Linked DNA regions of Oryzias latipes. The protein of the gene in region 1 interacts with the protein of each later gene in a pairwise test. Links are inferred from orthologs where the notes say so. Each region holds a gene or a part of one and is shown on either strand. Other genes may lie near its edges.

Region 1 (9,680 bases):
CTGGGCGTTTTAGAGTAGATGACTCATTAATCCATTAGGATAACCAAAAAAAATCCTCAAAGATGGATTATTTATTAGATCTAATCCATACGGTCTCTCCTGAACTCAGTTTGAAGTCAAGTTTAGCGCTTTATAGGTGCAGAATGAAAGTTGCTCTTCAGATGGAATTTGATCATATCTGAATCGAAGCAAACCTTTACATTAAAGTGTATGAGACTGTGAGCAGACTTGGTCAGCTACTGATAACCCGGTTATGAATGAGAAATAAAAACAGCACGTAAGCAACCTAACAGTGTTTCTGAAAACTCGACAGATTCTTCACAATCAGAAGAGCAGATTTTAGTTTTCTGAAGAATCCGTCTCCTCTGTGGAGCCGTCGCTCTCCACCTCCATCTTCCGTCTGTGGTGGATGTTTCTGCGGGGGGAGGCCCTCCTCTGCACCTCCTTCAGCCCTCCCACAGCACTGCCGCTGCTGTTGCTGCCAGGACTCACAGAGATCTGAGCAATCCTGCGGAGCGACAACACCACAGACCAGAGTTGATGTGCGTGGTTCTCAGCTAACACAGCATCTTTTGGTAAAGCATGCTTTGAACTTTAAGACAGATAGATGCTTCATCTGATCAGCTGCCAGCTCTTCATCATCTTTTTTGACATGGTTTTTGTTTGGATGCATGTGCTCTTACAGTTTGTCCAGTTCCTGGTCCATCTCTGGGTCAAAGAAAAGCTCCGCCCTGCTGGGCAATGCTCCTGCATGAATGAGAGGATTGAAGCTTTAACGTAAAAAAAGAGACGTTGGACTGTTTCTTATGCAAAGGCCATTCATTTTTGATAATAGAAACTTTGTGGAGGACTACCCCACTCATGCCATGGTCCCTTAAGAGATAAATAATTATTAGTACTTCCATCTCACTATTTTTATTGTTTAAACTGTTTTTCACAAAAAGCAAACTGTTTGATATGCAGTCTGATGTGTTGTCATGGTAACGGCTACTGAGTCTGCACCAACCGCAGCAGCGGAGGAAAGTGCTATATAGGCTACAAGTTATGTTAAGTGATACAAAGCATTATTTCAGAGGGAAAGTTCACCTCTTAGCACTTGTTTTTGTCTAGATGAGGAAACAAAATCTGTTTCAAAGAAACAAAGTCCACAAATAGTTTCCTAGATCACTTTCACTGTAAGAAATATCCTCAATTAAGTAATGGATAATGCCCAATGAGGTTTAAGTGATCATAAAATAACAGACAACGTGGAAACCCGAACGCAGCCTGAAGTTGCTCCGGGAAAGGGAAGGGGGGTGGGGTTTCTCTGCACCCAATTGTCCCGCCCACAACTATAAGGGGAATTTCTACAGAACTTCTGCTGCTCTGCAGAAATTATGTCCTAGAACACAACACAAGTTTTGATTTTGGCTAAAAATGGCATAATCATAATTCAAAGACCCATGGAAACGGTTTGGAAATAGATCAAAAGATGATCAGAGTGGGTCTGTACATGCTAGTTTCCCTATAACATAACTGAACCTACCGATGCTTTGATTGATGGCCTCATGCTTAGCCAGACTCATGAGGAAGCTGTAGTAAGAAACCTTGTCGGTCTGATCCAGGATTTCCCTCACACACGCCCTGGAAGGATGGCTGGAGAGCAGAAACACGGAGCATTGATGTGGAGTCATTGCCACAGACCTGATTCTGCTCTGAGCAGTTTACCTGTGCTTGAACCTGTCGCAGAGAGCATCCACACAATCGGCCAGCAGGCACGCCTCCACCCCATCTCGCTGCGGCTCCTCCTTATCGTTCTCCTCCACAACCACAGAGGGCAGCTGCTCCACTAAGGCCGAGGTGGGGACGAACACGGTGTTGGGACTCTTCCCTGCGAGCAGATCCTGGTAGATCACCAAAACGCTCTCCAAGAATTCTGTAGACACAGAGACCGCAACAAGGAATAGAACAAAAACAACCCAATCAGGACAACAGTCCTAAACAAAAGCTGCTTTTCTCAGAGGGAGCAAGTGTAAAGACATCAGGCTGTCACAACTGAAACAGGGGCTGCCATCAAATTCCTCAGGAAAAGAATATTTCAAGAAATGGCTCACTTTCAAAAATGCATTTTTTCCCTATGTTTTAACTTTAAAAAAACATTTAAGGGACAAACAAATCATTGCATTCTTTCCATTTAGGAGTTTTGCCTAACTGGATGCCTCACCTTGGTAGTAAAACTGCAGCTGGAAGGCATAAATGAAGTCAGAGAATGACATCAGACAATCTGTGGCGTCGTCCATCAGAACAATTCTGCAGAACAAAAAGAAGAACACTCATAAACGCTGGGGATCCGTTGTGACAGGAGAGAGCCTGCGGTCCACTAAAATCTGTGTCTCCTGATCATAACAAGCTCTTCTAACACGTTTCAGTGTAGATGTTTGGAAACAAAGCTGTTCAGGAACGGTTGAGTAATATTTTCTCTGTCGCTGCCCGTGGAATGATAACAATTCTGCTTAAAGCAACATATTTGGAAAGGAGCTCTTTTTAAAACACGTTGTACGAAAGAACTTCTTCCCTTAACCTGCTGGTTCCAAACACTGTGAGGTGTTAAACCAATCTTTAGCTGGTAATGAGAAAAAACAGGAAAAAAAACACTTTATTCTCTTTTACCAGTAACTTGTAGGGGGTAAGAATACAAAGAGAAAGATTAATACAGAAAACAGCTGAGAATATTTTGTTGTAGTTTTTTTTCTTTAGTCAAGACAGCCATTCAGGGGAGACCTGGTATAAATGAGGGCGCGGATTCAAACATTTGATACTTTTTAAATAACATGCTCATACTTTGACTGAGAAAGAAAAAAAGGGTCAAACAGGGATTAGTCACATAACATTTAAGCTTTTTTTAAAAACAAAAATAAAAATATTAGCGTGAAGGTAAAGAAAAAATATTAAGCACTTTATTTCATAAAATGGATGAATGCAGCATTAGGGCCATCATAAAATGAATAAATATAATAGAGGAAAGTTGTAAAATTGTTTGAAAATAGTCAATATTCCATGAACATAAAAGTCTTGAATTTATGAGAAAAAGTCATTTTACTAGTCATAAAGTCATAAATGTATGCTCCTAAAAGTCATAATTTTACAAGTAAAAAGTCTGGTTTTTCATTTAAAAAATAAAAAGTTATATTTACTTTTAAAATTTTTCTGTTATGGCTGTAATATTGTTTTTTGTACTTTGCAGTATTTTCTGTCTCTGTTTTCTTTTGTTTTCTGCTGCAGTGGGAGATTCAGTCTTTGTACTACATTTGTCCGGAGATTGGAGCTGAGGCGTCCACCTCAGTGTTCAAATACTGCCACATCAACCAAGCTGGCAGCAGCAGAGCTTTACTTTATTTGCTATTGTTAGAGGCTTTGGTCCTTGTTTTTAGGTTATTTTTGTGTAGTTTGAGTTTTTCTGTAAATAAATTCCCAGCTTATTTTGAGCCTGGTTTTGTTTGTGAGAGTTTTTTTAGTTGTTGGGATATTTAATTTGTTCCTTTTACTTTTATGTTACATCCTTTTACAAGCCCCTAGACAGGGATGTAACAGTTTCAAAGACAACCAAACATGACCTTTTTAATTTATGTTTCAGACAATTCAGAGAAATCAAACTGCTAAAGAATCTTAATTAAACTTTATTTGTGAGTGAACTACTTTATTTTGATGAAATTACAACTTTATTTTTGGAAGAAAATTTTATTTTTTCCTTTTTTAATTGTGAGTTTTTGATTTAAATTTTTAAAATTTTGCTATAAAATATTGACTTCTTTCTAATAATTGCACAACTTTATTCTACTAAAATTCATCTCATAACATAATTATTTTATGGTAGCCCTAATACTCCATCAAATTTTCCAGATCTGGTTTTCCTCAAATGCTGTTTACGTGTTTCTGGTTTCCACCTGAAACCATCAACCACTTACTAAATGTTTCTGCCCTCACCTGGCTGCGCTCTGCACCACCTCCATTGAGAAGTCGGGACACAGTAACTGCAGCAGGGACCTGTAGTCCTGCACAGATAACAGCTCTGCAAAAAATCACCACCACATGTTTAATTGTAACCCAGAAGGTGAAGCAGATCACATCCTTCGAAACTCAAACACACAAAATCAGACAGAAGTAATGATGGATCAGTCACCTCCACTCTTGCCAATTTGTCTGAAGCATCTCCAGAAAACTCGAATAAAGGAGGCCTTGTTGTGAGGAGTGGCTCGGATGTAGTTAAACTCCCTGAAGAGGACATGGTTGCTGTTCTTCACGCTGCTGAAACTACAATCACACATAACAAATCCACAGGTGAAGGTCTCTGTGTGTCTTGATCCCTAATTTTTTCTTGTGTTTTTATATTGACCAATATTGGGATTTTAACTAGTTATATGTTTATGTTTAATCCACTGCCTCATCTGTCTCTCTAAACCTTTTAATCTCACACTTTTCAGTCAATTACAAAGAAACTGGAGTCACAGAAACGTGCTGCTCCTTGTCAGTTAACAGGTCTGTATGTCAGAAAAAGGAACTTAGACTTTAGTCACAGTTAAACTCCCACTCTAATCGTCTTTTGATCTAATCTAAAAGTGTTCCCAGTGGTCTTTTAATCATGATTATGCCGCTTTAGGCAAAACCCTAAAACGTGTAATTTCTGTATAGCGGCAGTTCATTCGAAATTTGCCTATGAGCTGTGGTCAGGAGTTGTGGTCAAGACTTGTGGCGCAGAGTAAGCCTTCCCTCATTTCCCATCATTTCTTTACAATCCCTCCTTTCTAGCTTACAACCCCTCACACCCCCAACCTGACATTACTGGTGCAACAACATGAGCAGTATTGTAGCTACCCAGCCATTCAGTTTGGAGCCAGATGCCAGCTCAGACGAGGAGAACCAAGACGTACGTGAATCTTTTTGTCTGAAAGTGGATGCATCAGAATGGAGCGGAGCAGGGAACTTGTGGCCAGCCGTACATCACACTTACAAGCTTTTTCCAACAGCATTTTTGATTCTGCTCCTGACTTGCAATTATTTGAATAAAGAATCATTCAGAAATAATATAATTAGCTCTCTTTATAAATGAACTCCATCATCAGAGAAATGTCACAAGAATGTGTAAGAAACACAATTGTCATTGGAGTAGCTTTATTCGTCCTTGTAGACAATTGTTTACTCCTATTCTTTGGTTCCAGAGCATTTCGGTCAGGTCTAAATATTAAAGTATTTTAACATGAGTCTATGAGTCTAATACTGTCATTTGTGACAAAACACAAATTTTAACTATAAATATATTTATAAAACGTGTGTTGAAACTACAGCCAAGTGAGCATCTACTGTCTACTGAAAGGAGACATTCAATTCCAGTAAATGATGCTCCTACAAAATACTCAAAATGTCTTCCTTTGAGAAAACATTCACAGTTGAGTATTGTCTTATTAAAACTTTAATCTGGACTAACTGGACCGGGTTTGGACAGCCAGTCCGTTCCACTCTTGGTGTGAATCGCTGTGAACAACCTGCGTCACGTACTATTCGGCGAAGTATCGGATCAGTCCGAACTGGGTGTACTCCTCTTTGTGTTCCAGCAGCTGGTTTACGGCATCACCCAGGTAGAAAAGGACGTGACTTTCCGCTTGAGAAAGAAAAAACAGACACGTAAATATGAAGAAACCAGAACTGGACCGAACCGAGATCCAGAAGAGAGGGTACCTACAACCAGCACTAACTTACCGAGATACTCCTCTACCGGAACGGCGGCGCTTAGGCGGCTCATTTTGTTTGTTCAGTCGGAAAACCTGCTCAGATCGTCCTAAACAACCCCGAAGAACACGAACCCGAACTCCGTTTATCGAATCTGTTTAGTAAATATCGGCTCCATGGACCTAACATCGTCTTGTCTGACGGGATGGTCCGTGCAAGGGAAAAGGCGGATGTTGTGAGCTACATTAATTCGAGTCCCCCTCGAGCGCGCAACAAAGGTTCCCCCTAACATTACAAATGAAAAATCGCTTTTAGAAGCAATAACTACAGAAATGAACGAATCAATCAACAATATTGATATAATTGAGGGACCAAACAACAACGAAACATAAACTAACACAAATCTGGATAAAAACAGACACAGTCATTAGTCCCACTTCAGACTGCAGAGTCTGTCAGTCACATCATAGTTTACGGTACACACGCCCAGCGAGCTGAAAAGACGATATAAAGCGCTAATATCACCCATGTCACAGGAACCCATTATCAAATAACATGTACTGTGCTCTGAAATAAACGAGAGCTATTGCAAGCCCTATATTGTTATTTGATGTACAAATGTATTCATTTGGATTGCATGTCTGTTCATTCCACAATAAACTACCGGAAATAACGTGTTTTGTCTGAAATATAATCAATCAGACAGATTCTAAAAGTGAGATTTAACACTGACAAGAGTGTTTTGTGGGTTGTTGAGCATGACATGGAATGGAATCAAACAGCAATGAAGAAACTCCACGTAAAAGGGCACATCTGGTCATGGCAACTCTTTCTAAGTTGCTTCATTTAAGCTGACGCAAAATTTTCACTGGATTATTGTTGGTAATGTTGTTCGTGATCATCTCTACAGGTTTGAAGAAAATTGACTGGAGAAAATGAGAGAAATTGACATTATAGTCTAATTTAGGCTCCCTCACACATAGTCATAGTATAACATGTGAACCATCCAAAACACCACTTTTTTAAAAGGTGATGTAAAACTTTCACTGGATAATTGTTGGTAATGATGTTCATGATAATCATAGATGGACCTATGAGACCTAACAGAGAGGGAATTTAAAATTGTTGAATTAGTGTGATTGATTTGAAGGAAAGATTGGAGAATGGTTTTTATAATGTTGGTATATTGTCTCCCATCATGTAAGTTAAACCTATATAAATATGCCTTCACTCATCCAGTTTTTTTAAAATAAAGATTTATTTCAGCATAAGACATATTGTGATTTCCATTTGGGAGTGTTATATGGGTCTGAAATAATGTTTATATGCGGAAAATGTATATGGTAGAGTAAAAAAAATGTGTTTTTTTCAAATTGGTTTGTTTACCCACAGCCAATAGGAAAGACATGTGTGTGAAAGGAACGTATGAAATTATCCAATAGCACACAAACTGACAGAAATCTGGGCGGATTTAATGTTCAAACAGTTTTTATCCATTGGGTGTTATCTTATTTTTGTCCAATCAGCATAGGGCTATCAATATTGGGGGTTGTCCCTATTTCAAATTCAACCAATCAGCTGCATCGTCACTAAACACTCAAGGAAGCCAGTTGGACCAAATGTACACGCGTCAAATGTTAACTAAAAGGTATTGATCCGATGTTTAAAAGTCTTTGTTTGCACTTCGTGCTTTTGTTTGAATGTATAAGTTTCGAGGTTTGATGTACTTAGGGTGGTGTCCCGAGTCTCCGCCTTCCTCTGTCTCTCCACCCTTGTAATTTAAAAAGAATAGTCAAGTTTGATGTGTGTTTGCAACGGAGGGCCGGAAGTTGATTTTAGAACGAAAATTAGTCAATCAAACCTTCGCTTATAATTGGAACTATTTGAGTAATTTTATATTTTTGTATTTTCTACTGTCAAGTGTCTCTAAATACATATCATACCAATTTGAAATTTGCCGAAATGCTTTATGGAAGGAGGCTCAGTAAAGGGGACTCTTTTAATTTGTACAGGAAGTGGAAAGTTGCTAACATCCGCAAACTGCTTGTATAAAACTCGACCGAGCTCTGTGGTGATCTCATTGTCTGTCATTTTACTGAGTTGCCATCATCTTATAGTCCCCAGGAGGCGCACACAGGTATGTCGTTGATTTTAGTTTATTTTGGGGCGCTAACCAAATGTCGAATTACATTTAGGAGCCGTATCGTGGTGCTGTGTGTGTTGTTGGTCTGTCGGCGAGAACTGCGTTGTTAGGCCTGTCTGGTGGCAGGGGTGAACGGTTAGCCCGTAGCCCTGTTCCTAAGCAACTAACGGCGGCTACAGAGAGCGATGGAGCATCGTTAGTTCAGCAGAATTGGACTTTAATCTTACGTTTCTTGGAAAATGCACGTACAGTTTATAAAGACTGTTAAAAATTTAACCCTGGGAGGTTTTATCAATTTTAGGAGGCTACCTTACCTTAGCCAGTAGCCACTGTGTTTGCTGAGGTTAATGGCGCTCGTTTTTGACTGGTAACGATTGCTAGTTTAAGATGCTGACCACTCCTATATATCAGGTTGTTGATTTTTAGGGACACATTCCTTGACTGGCTTTTTGTGGGGGGTTTGACTAGTTGCTGGTTGCACGAAGACGACCATTGTCTTGGTGGAGACTAAAATGCAACGATGATGATATCGCGTTGTTTCTCTGTGAGGTTGGATGGATGCTGGATGGATCTCTGGCGCTCGTGCCTGACATCTGTACTTATCAAAATAAAGGCTGCATAGACTGTCATGATGATATTATGTTCTACAGAACCGTGTGAAGATCTTGACCTTATCTGGTGTTTATATCTAGTTTTTCCCCCTTGCCGTACCACATTATTAGTCACTAATAAACTGAACCATAATAGGAATGCCCTTTTAATTGATGTTGCTGTTTCAGTAATAGTTGGAGATTTGGTAAGTGGAAGTTCCTGCCCAAAAGTATTGGTGTTTCAATTATTGACACAAACATCAGCTCTTTATAGGCTTCTGCTGCTTTTTAACCTGGAAAAATGGCCGGTTCCCTGCAAGTCCCATTGGTGTTGAAGCTTGTCCTGCTTTTGTCCTTTTTCAGCAAATGCAGTGTTTCTGTGACATAATGTATAGATAAAATGAGGAGCAAACAGTAAGTTTTGTGAGGATCATTAACATGAATGGCCTACCCCCCCCCCCATTTAAATTCTAGAATTTTAATTCAATAAAAATTGGGTTGCATGAATGTGATCGAAATTATAATTAACATTTTAAAGTCCCACTTTAACCATCTTTTGATCTATTTTAAAATTGTTCCCAGGGGTCGTTGTTATTATGACTATTCTGTTTTTTTTTTAAAGCCAAAATAAAAAAAAACCTGTCATTTTTTTTTTTTTTTTTGGACGTGGATTCTGCAGAGCAGCAGTTGTTCATTAGAAATTTGCCTCCAAGTTGTGGATTGGACTGTTTGCATGGAGTAAGCTCGCCCCTGCTTCCTGACATCCCTCTGTTGCTCTGCCGGTAGCTCACAGCCCTTTACAACCCCACCCTTACATTACCGGTGCAACAAAAATGGCAAGCATGCACTTTTATTTTGACACGCTAAACATTGTACATCGCACAGGTGTCATCATCCTCTCCCCTTCCCACACTCGTGGTGCTAAAAAGAAGTAAACACAACAGGAAGAATTAACTAAGGGTGAAACAACGTAACTGCCAGATGAAGGGACCCGTAGGCAAAAAGAAACACCCGTGCTCAACCCTATTTTGACCAAAGCAGGCCTAGGGGATTCATTTAATTCCCTGCGATGCAAGCTCCTACAGTAACCCCTGCGGAACTCCGACAGCAGACCAAACGTGCACGTGACCGACACTACAGTACAACAAAATAATATGACTTTCATGAAAACTGGTATTTTCTAAACATAACAATAAACAATAATTATGACATGAGCAACGTCCTCTCTGCCCGCCACACTCCCT
Region 2 (9,668 bases), on another chromosome or scaffold:
CTGTTAGTGAACTTTAAAATTATTTTTTTAACATTTCGCCTGACACACGGTCACCCGGAAGTAGTTTGTGAGCACTTTTACTTTGAACGCTGTGCGCTAATGTCTACGGCTGCGAGGTTCACGCTGTCAATCATCTTTAGGTAAGAATCAATTCTGTGATCTTTTCTTTTGTCAGTCACATGTCTCTAAGGATGTTAATTTTAGGATGTTAAAGTGCTGCTTTGAAAAGATAATTTCTTTTTATCTTGCGCATGCGCAAAAAGAACCCGATGGAGACGAACCGTCTTCACATGATAGCCGTTCCCGTTTTCGGTGACAACATGAGAGAAAAAGCTCCGAGCCAGCCTGATTCTGTGATTTATACAGTAATTACAGTAATTATATGGCATCAGTGTTGCTAAAAATGGACTTTAAGACTGAAATCAGTAAACAAGTTCTTATGGGAAATAATATTTAAGTGCATTGTATATTTTAGAACCATGCATATACACATATACTGAAACTTAAAAATGAACTTTAAAGTTTATAAAATACTTAATTGAATTAACATGTGATATTTCTGCAGGTGAAGTTTCTCAAAGCGAAGTTCCAGAAAGGTTTGTGCTGCAGAAGAACAGATGGCAGCTCTACATGGGAATACAAGAAGACTAAAGTCATTCATATCATTGTGCAGTGTACAGGCAAGTCACCATGATTTATGTGAAATGTAATCAATAAATATTATTTAACCTTAATATCTATTTTTTTTTTTTTAATTGCAGGTCCTTTAAAAAAACGTCTTTAACCTGCTGCATAAGCCTGATTAGTTGTAAATGATGCAGTGGGGAGTGAAAGACGAAGCACAATTCCTGGCTTTAGTGTCGGGCTGATAATCTGGAAATCACATCTGAGGAATCGCATCAAACACTTGTACAACTCCAAACAACTTAATGTTCCTTTAAGCAAAACTCCAGTTTAAAATGTTCATATTAGGCTAGCTTCATTTAGGAGTTTTTCCATGTTTACCATTTTAGGTTTTAAAGCTTTATTAACAAAGTTGATGTTTGATTTTCAAAGCTGTTGTTTAGAAATGTTTCTTTGTCAATGACAAAACTGAATGCTGACGTGAGGATTGTAATAATGGATATGAAAATAAACAAATTTGTTTCATAGCAATGCAGTATATTTATTGAAAACTTAACATGAATACGTTATTCAGTAACAGAAACAAAGAAACAGTTGTGGATTTTCCTTTATGGGCTTCTTCATGCAGTCAATCAAATGTTGCGCTTACATTCAGCATTTACTCAGCGTACCTGTCAGTCACATTTATTAGAGGAAAAAATGCATCTGGGAAAGTCTGTTTGTGCTTAACAACTATATCAAAAAGAGTCATGTCAGGAAAGGTTTGTCCACATTGCTGCTCAGCATCACATCCAGAGGAAGATGCACAGGTAAGGGACGCCAGTTCCTGCTCGTACATGCTTGCAGCTTCCTCTGCACTGGACTCCAGCTCCACTGAAATCCCTGACAGAGATAAATTAATAAATTAAAAATCCCTGACAGAAAAACATCAGCTACCGTTCATCTTTCATTCAGGAAAAAGTTGAGTTCATCAAAATGAGGAGAAAATGGGTTAAACCAGAAATTCATTAGGGAGGGGTCAAAACACCAAACTCAGAATAAAATACATTATTTCAGTCTTATAAAAAATACATTCTAAAACAATTTGGTATTCCTCCTCTGCCTGAAAGACTAAAACGTTTTTTTTTAAAGATTTATTTTACACTACAGACTTTGCCACCTTTAGTTACACACCTGGACGTGTCTGATGATGTGCACATCCAGTCATTTACTGTCATGTTTCTGTGCACTGACACACTCCAAAGTCACAGATCTTAATAGTGTGAATAAGAAGCATTCATAAATGTTATTCTGAGACACAAACTGCTGCAGTTTACCTGACAGCTTTGCTGATTTATGCTGCTGGTACACCTGTCTGAGAATCCTGCCCACGTGACCCCCCCTCTCCAGCTGATGAGGTAACCTGTCATTAACGTATGACTGAAGGATCTTGGATCTGTCTGTAAACACCCACCTAGAAATCACGTTTAACGCTACATTTATTAGATCAAACAAATGTGCCTCCATACCTTATCAGTGGATGGCGGGACTGCATTTCCTGATGTGCGCCGTCTTTAACACCCGTTTCTTCGCAGCTGCTGCTTCAGACAGAATCCTCTCACGACATTTCGAAACATTTGTAAACCTGGTTGGTGTTGATATTTCTGTGTGCGTTCTGTCATCACATCCGCTAAATATTCAAAGATTAACGTTTATGTTAACGTTTTATCGTCCCTTTCATTGTTTACCTGCAGAACGGACGTCATCCACACAAACTACTTCCGGGTGACCGTTCTGCTTCAGACGAAATATTCAAAAAATAATTTAAACCTTCATTATCTGTTTGCTGCATTTTTGATTTAATATGTAAATGGGAAATACGGGAATTATCATGGTACATTGTTGTTTGGACGATAAAATCCGTCATCGCTTCATTTAAAATACTTTTCAGTTCAAATGATTGACAAACATCATCATCCAATCAGCGTTGTCCCATAGTACCTGCTTCTTCCGGTTTGGAAATGTTTTTCATTTTTGAAGATTTCGTTTTGTTTTCTGGAAATTCATTCTGTGTTCTGAAATGTTTTTCATTTTTTAATATTTCATTTTTTTTCTGAAATGTTTTTCATTTTTTAATATTTCATTTTGTTTTTCTGAAATGTTTTCATTTTTTTTATTTCATTTTGTTTTCTGGAAATTAATTTTTTTTCTGAAATGTTTTCATTTTGTAATATTTCTTTTTTTTGTGGAAATTAATTTTGTTTTCTGAAATCTTTTTTTCTTTTTTATGTTTTGGTTTCTGAAATTTTGTTTTGTTTTCTAAAATGTAATACGCTTTTTAAATTGTTGCTGTGATCTTAAAAATGTTTTTGTATCGAGTGATTTGTTGAATGGTTTGCACTTCAGGGCCACCGTAGTAAATTGATGACAGACAATATAAAAAATAGACTCAACCTTGTGTTAGGGGTTGTGGCTTGTTATAAATCAATCACGTTTTTGAGGTGAATTTGTTGGTTACGGTTACCATAGCAACCATGTCAGTGGATGTTTTCATGTGTTGCTGCAATTTGTGTTTCTTCTTTCCGTTTTGTGTACGTGACAATAGACCTTTTAAAGTAAGAAATGCGGGCTGCTCGTGAATTCAGATGTCACACAACCTTTTCTGACATAACAGTGGAACGCTGCCTGAAATTACTTGAAACCTTTGGTCATGAATAATTACAAGAACACAGGTAACTAACCCTGGAGTGAATCAAACCTGATGAAATGTCAGTGTCCTCTTAGCTGCGGTCCTGGCTGGTGATGTGTTTTTTCCCTATCACACACTTCCATCCAAAAAGGTCTAAACTACTCCGGTAGAATATTTATGATACAAGATCATTTGGAAAATCATTATAAACGTGCTTAGACCAGAAGTTATTTTTAAATCCTGAACATTTTTATCTGCTGCAAGAAAAGTGGCCAAGTCACGATAAAACAAACAGGAAAAAACGCAGAGAAGAGAGTCATGTACATGACTCAGCATGCGACTGAAACATGTCCAGCAGTCGATGACAGTGGCCTAGTTTACAAACCTAGTGGACAAACCTCATGGTTTAGTCTGCATGGTTTCTTTGTTTCCGTTTCATTTTTGTGGGGAAAGATTTATTATTAATTATAACCAAATGGAACACATCTTATAAATTGTAACTCATGCTGTCTTCCTATGTGTAATATGTAGGACTACTTACATTCCCTAAAACAAAACAACTGATTGAAAAAAAATAGGGATTAAAAAAGGGATTCAGCAGGTAACGAAAATGGATGGATGGAAATTAACATAAAAGTGTCTGTCACTAGGCTAGAAATGGGTTTATCTTTGCCTTAAAACTTGAATTTTAAAATGAGATTTGATAGGAAATGACTTCCCTGTGACACCAGCCCCCAGTGGTTTGCATTTAATTTGAGATTGGGAAGTGGACGCTTTATTCTACTGCATTCAAAAAGTGTTGTCTGTGTTCTTTTAAAGATCAGAACCAACACGTACGCTGGCATCATAAACCATTGAAAAAGAAACTATTACATCCCCTTTATTCACCTTCTAAACCTGGTTTAAACATCCAAAAGGTAGCTTGACCATGTTCAGATGTCTAAGTGCACCAAGTTCCTCCAATGGAACCCATCCGGGGTTCTGACAACCAAAACCCCGGATGTCAGAGTGACAGACAGAGTGGAGAGACGGAAACTACGGCCATTTGTACTATTTTCAGTTTTTTCAAAAGCTTTGTGTAACCCTTGTGCCATCCTAGGCACTTTAACATTGGGAGTTGGGTCATCTAGACCCACTAGACAGTGCGCTGAACCTTTTTTCTTCAATGATTTGTCAACCTCACTGCTGTCCATGGATTACATGAAATCTTTCCACCTTTATCCACCTTTGTCATGGTAGGGAGAACACGTCAATGCAAGGGTGAGGTCATCTAAGATAGCACAAGGGTTAAAGTCTCTGTTTGAGTTCTGTAAAAGATCCTCATTTTCTTCTTTTATATTGTCTCGTACTCTTGCAGTTAAATGCTGAAATAAAACATTGCATGTTTGCCTCATAAAGCAGATTTCCGGTTTGAACTTTGAGCTGCTGGGAACTTCACGACTAACTTGATCATGATCATGTGACAGAGAGAAGACGAACGATGACAGAGCACCTGCTGAAAATACTGATTGTTGGTGATGGAAATGTTGGAAAATCTTCCTTTGTAAACCGTTACATCAGTGGAAATTTCAACAGAACATACAAGATGACTGTAGGAGGTACGTTCATATCTTCTAGAACTATACATATGTGCTCTTGTTACTTTATACTGGTATTCACAAGAGAGGAAGCTCTACTTCCAGGTCAAATTGTCAGAATAATAAATCCGCTGTGCAATCTACCTTTATTTAAATATATATTTGTATATATATTTGTCTTGTTTAGTCAGAACATATTGTGTGTAGCAGTTTTTTTATTTCCTTGAATAAAATAAAATACTCCAGTTTACCTAAAATATGCGTAGAAAGGTGTGTTTTCTTTGTCCACACTGTAAGACGAGCGCTGTCAGGCTTTTTAAGCTGACTGGCTGGTTTCACCTTGAGTCACTGACTTCTTTTATGACTCAAACACAGCCACCTGTGTGGTTCAGGTTGAGATCAGCGCCCACTGTGGTCAACATGCAGGTTGTGGTCACATGGGTACTGACAGTATTTGTGTAAAGCTGACAGGGAGCAGAGACTACAGACGGCTTTAGGCATGTTTATGCAGTAGCTGTAATCCGTAACAGAGGCTAAACGCTGGTTCATAATCAACTAGAGGCCAGACGTTATGTGTCACACTCACTAAAGGATGGCTGCAGTGGAAGGAAAAAACACTTTTTTCCCTTCATTGTGTTCTCTGTTTGTGTTTTTTCAAACACACTTCTAGTGGATTTTGCTGTTAAACTGCTGCACTGGTCCGATGAAGAAAAAGTCAGGCTGCAACTTTGGGACATAGCAGGTACAAAGTGATTTCCAAACCAACCTTTGCTGTTATTGGTTATGGATGCAACAGTGAACTGTGTGTCCTCCTTTCAGGCCAAGAACGCTTCATATCCATGACCAGAATCTATTATAAAGGTGCAGTGGGCTGCATTGTGATGTTTGACATCAGCAGCTCATCCAGTTTCCTAAGCTGTCGCCTCTGGAAACAGGACCTGGACCACAAGGCCATGCTGCCGAACGGAGACACAATCCCCTGTCTCCTGCTGGCCAACAAGGTCATTCAGTCATAATACTTCATGATACATCAGTATAATGAACAGGCTGCTACACAACCAATACACATGTGACTGCAGCTGATTGCTGATGGGCTTCACATGGAAGGTTTTTAAAATTCTAAATGGCTCCAAAAAAAGGTTCTTGTTTCGTTACGGCAGCTGTATAAGTCAAGACACCCGCCGTCACTCGGTTGACGACAATTGAAAGAGCACAGTCAATGAGACTGAAATAGACCTACTTATCACTGAAAAACAAAAGGGAGTTGGAACAGTGACAAATGGAATAGAGGTCTTGTTTAAAAAACTGGAGAGAAACAATCTGAGATCATGTGTAGAAAAAAAAGTCTAGGCATGTCTGTGCAAAAACAAAAGTGTGTATTTTTATTATTTGAAACAAAGGTTTTTGCAGCAGCAGATGTTTTTGTTTCAGCATGTTATTGTAGTGTTTGTATTTACTGTGTATAATCATATGGAGAATCGAACTGACTGAGTGAGTGTGATGTCACCCATGAACTACTCTCGCCAATCAGGAGTGAGCTTGTTGGAAGGCCACACCCCTACCACTTGAAAGTAAGCTCTGGATATGAGACCACATACTTTTATTGAGGCATCTGATGGCAAGTTTATAACTTGAAAAACTTGCAGTACAGAAGAAAACAAATATTGTGAATTAAAATTAGCATTATCAACAACATGTTAAAAAGGCTAGAGTAAGAATGGTTATTCAAACAAATTGAATGATATTCAGAGTAATAGCTGTTTTTTTCTCTATAGAAGACTGCGGGATTTTTAGCTACTTCCAACCAGCAGGAAATTTCCTGTTTGGAACACAAGGGAAGAGGGGTCACTCAGTCCAGTTCTCATATACAGTCAATGGTGTAAACCTAACCTGACAAACCATGACTGTATTATCAGTTTACCAGAACATGAGCGGATCTGTTTTTCCTTTCACCAAAAAGAAAAAATTGGTCTCATGATTGTTTTTGCCAATCTTGTATTGGCACACTTTAAACACAAGAGCAAACCAAAACAAGAGAAGACACGACAGCTTCTGACAGTGATATCAACTTATTAAACATGAATCGCAAAAGGGTCTTGTTGCAGTGAATGCTGAGAGATTCTCTGTAAGTTACTGTCCTTTGCTGCTACAGTGTGACCTGGCTGAGCGGGCCGTGTCGGCAGACACTATTGATCAGTTTAGCGGAGCTAACGGCTTCTTCACCTGGATGGAGGCTTCTGTCAAAGAGAACAAGAATGTCGGAGAAGCCATGAGGTAAAAAAAGAAGACTCAATGTCAATGTAAAGAAATGATTGCAAACCTTTTAGAGAGTCATGACAAAAAAGTATTTAGTCAGCCACCAATTGTTCAGGTTCTCCCACTTAAAAAGTTGAGAGAGGCCTGTAATTTTCATCATGGGTAAACCTCAGCAATGAGAGACAAAATGAGAAAATAAAATACAGATAAATCACTTTGTCTGATTTTCAAAGAATTTATTTGTTTACTATTGTGGAAAATAAGAATTTGATCACCCACAAACAAGCAAGATCTCTGACTCTCATAGACTTGTAACTTCTTCTGTAAGAAGAACCTCTGTCCTCCACTGGTTACCTGTATTAATGGCTCCTGTTTGAACTGCTTATCTTTATAAAAGACATCTGTCCACAACTTCAAACAGTCACACTCCAAACTCCACTAAAGACCAAAGAGCTGTCTAAGGACACCAGAAACCAAATTGTTGACCTGCACCAGGCTGGGAAGACTGGATCTGCAACAAGTAAGCAGATTGATTTGAAGAAATCACCTGTGAGAGCAATTATAAGGAAATGGAAGACATACAAGACCACTGAAAATCTCCCTCCATCTGGGGCAAGTTCTCACCCCGTGGGGTCAAAATTATCTCAAGAACAGTGAGCAACCCCAGAGTTGCATCCAAAGCACACTATACTATAAGGCATTGGGGGTGGAAACATCATGCTTTGGGGCTGCTTTTCATCAAAGGGACCAGGACAACAGGTTTTTTAGTCAAAACCTCCTTCCATCAGCAAGGGCATTGAAGATGAAATGTGGCTGGGTCTTTTAGCATGACAACGATCCCAAACACACTACTCAGGTAACGGTGGCTTCGTGAAAAGTATTTCAAGGTCCTGGAGTGGCCTAGCCACTCTCCAGATCTCAACCCCATAGAAAACCTTTGGAGGGAGTTAAAAGTCCATGTTGCCCAGCAACAGCCCCAAAGCATGACTCCTCTAGAGGAGATCTGCATGGAAGAATGGGCCAAAATACCAGCAAGTTTGTGAAAACCTTGTGAAGTGAGTCTTCACAAGGTTGGCTGCCATTGCCAACAAATGGTATATAACAAAGTATTGAGTTGAACTTTTTTTTATTGACCAAATTCTTATTTTCCACCATAATTTACAAATTAAATGTTTAATTAAATATTAAATTAAATATTCTTTATAAATCAAAGTGATTTATCTGGATTTTTTTCTCATTTTGTCTCTCATAGATGACATTTACCTATGATGAAAATAACAGACCTCTCTCATCTTTTTAAGTGCTAGAACTTGCACAATTAGTGGTTGACTAAATACTTTTTTGCCGCACTGTCTACGTGAAGTTAATCATTTTAGTATTACCTGCAGGGTCTTCTGCAGCAATCTTATGGAAGGATGAGATAGTAATGCTCTTAATGTGACCTCATCATATGTTAGTGAAGTTAAGATTTTAAGAATTTAGATTTAAACCAAAATTTGCTGCAAATCTATTTTTTTCCCCAGGAGGTTAGTCCAGGAGATTTTATCTGTTCATCTGAAGCCCTCACAGCCTCTGCCTGAAGGAAGCGTCTTCCTGCAGCAGGACTCTGAGTTCAACACCGACACTGGCAGAAGCTGCTGCTGACACAACTTGTTCCACAGCTGGACCCCAACAAACACAGCTAATGAATCCTCATTGTGTTGGAAGCGCTGCTTCAAATAGACTCACTGTTATGAGTCTAATTCTGTCTCATGATCAGAGCTACTTTCTATAGGTCAAGGAAACAAGCTGGTAATCAGAGCACATTCACCTTTTTTGGTTGGTTTCTTTGTATGGTTGATGTTTTATTGGATGAATGCCATAAAGCATTCAATCCATTGTTTTCCTGCTTCTCTTTCCATCTTTATTATAGTTTCCTCTACCATTTTTTGGCACTTAACTCCTACAATTTTTCAGCTATTTTAACCATTCATCTATTAAAATGTTCAGCTCTTTCAGCTTCTTCCAGTTATGACATTTGGTTCTTCAAATCCTTGAACTTTTCAAGATATTCCAGGATTTTTGCCTCCACTGAAATACATGGGGAATTCTTGGTGCAGAAGCTCGCTGGTTCGATACCCAGCGCGGGCATTTTTCACAAAAATCTTTTGTTATCATCTTGCTGTTATATTTATGTCCAACTTTGATCGTTTAGTTTTTTGTTGTCAATTATTACCCTTCAAATTTCATTCAGCAATGCAGCAGCCAACCCTGCATTTACTTCTGGAAATGCAGCTCCATAGTTTTTGTTGCATGAATGTCCCTTACACAGAAAATCCTAATAATGTCTTTAGCTGATGAAGACCAATTAAGAATGAAAAGAGACAATGAGAGCTGAGTGGTTTATTTCAAGTAACTGCTAAAACAAAACGTTCAAGTACAACCTGACAGAAATGCAAAAGAGATTGACACTGTTGGAAGCTAATTAACATAAATGTAAGGGATTTATTCTTTAATAAATGGATTCTCTTTTTCAACTGTTATAACCTGTATGTTTTTTGGTT

Evidence for each region.
Region 2: the proteins of c6h11orf49 (region 1) and ras-related protein Rab-7L1 interact in a two-hybrid assay, tested with the Homo sapiens proteins (2 studies listed by BioGRID and IntAct). The two-hybrid records come from large-scale screens. The link is inferred for Oryzias latipes from reciprocal best matches to the Homo sapiens genes CSTPP1 and RAB29.

Annotation. Positions count from the first base shown.
Region 1 is NC_019864.2:27,043,989-27,053,668, forward strand, and holds the start of c6h11orf49 (UPF0705 protein C11orf49 homolog), read right to left. Parts: upstream 5,960-9,680; 5' UTR 5,777-5,959; coding exon 5,734-5,776; intron 5,636-5,733; coding exon 5,533-5,635; intron 4,291-5,532; coding exon 4,160-4,290; intron 4,049-4,159; coding exon 3,964-4,048; intron 2,290-3,963; coding exon 2,204-2,289; intron 1,916-2,203; coding exon 1,708-1,915; intron 1,636-1,707; coding exon 1,526-1,635; intron 748-1,525; coding exon 684-747; intron 509-683; coding exon 340-508; 3' UTR 1-339. UniProt on the Homo sapiens protein: Regulator of the tubulin polyglutamylase complex (TPGC) that controls cytoskeletal organization, nuclear shape, and cilium disassembly by balancing microtubule and actin assembly.
Region 2 is NC_019865.2:28,344,595-28,354,262, forward strand, and holds ras-related protein Rab-7L1, read left to right. Parts: upstream 1-4,654; 5' UTR 4,655-4,772; coding exon 4,773-4,890; intron 4,891-5,539; coding exon 5,540-5,611; intron 5,612-5,688; coding exon 5,689-5,870; intron 5,871-7,021; coding exon 7,022-7,143; intron 7,144-8,648; coding exon 8,649-8,769; 3' UTR 8,770-9,136; downstream 9,137-9,668. UniProt on the Homo sapiens protein: The small GTPases Rab are key regulators in vesicle trafficking. Essential for maintaining the integrity of the endosome-trans-Golgi network structure.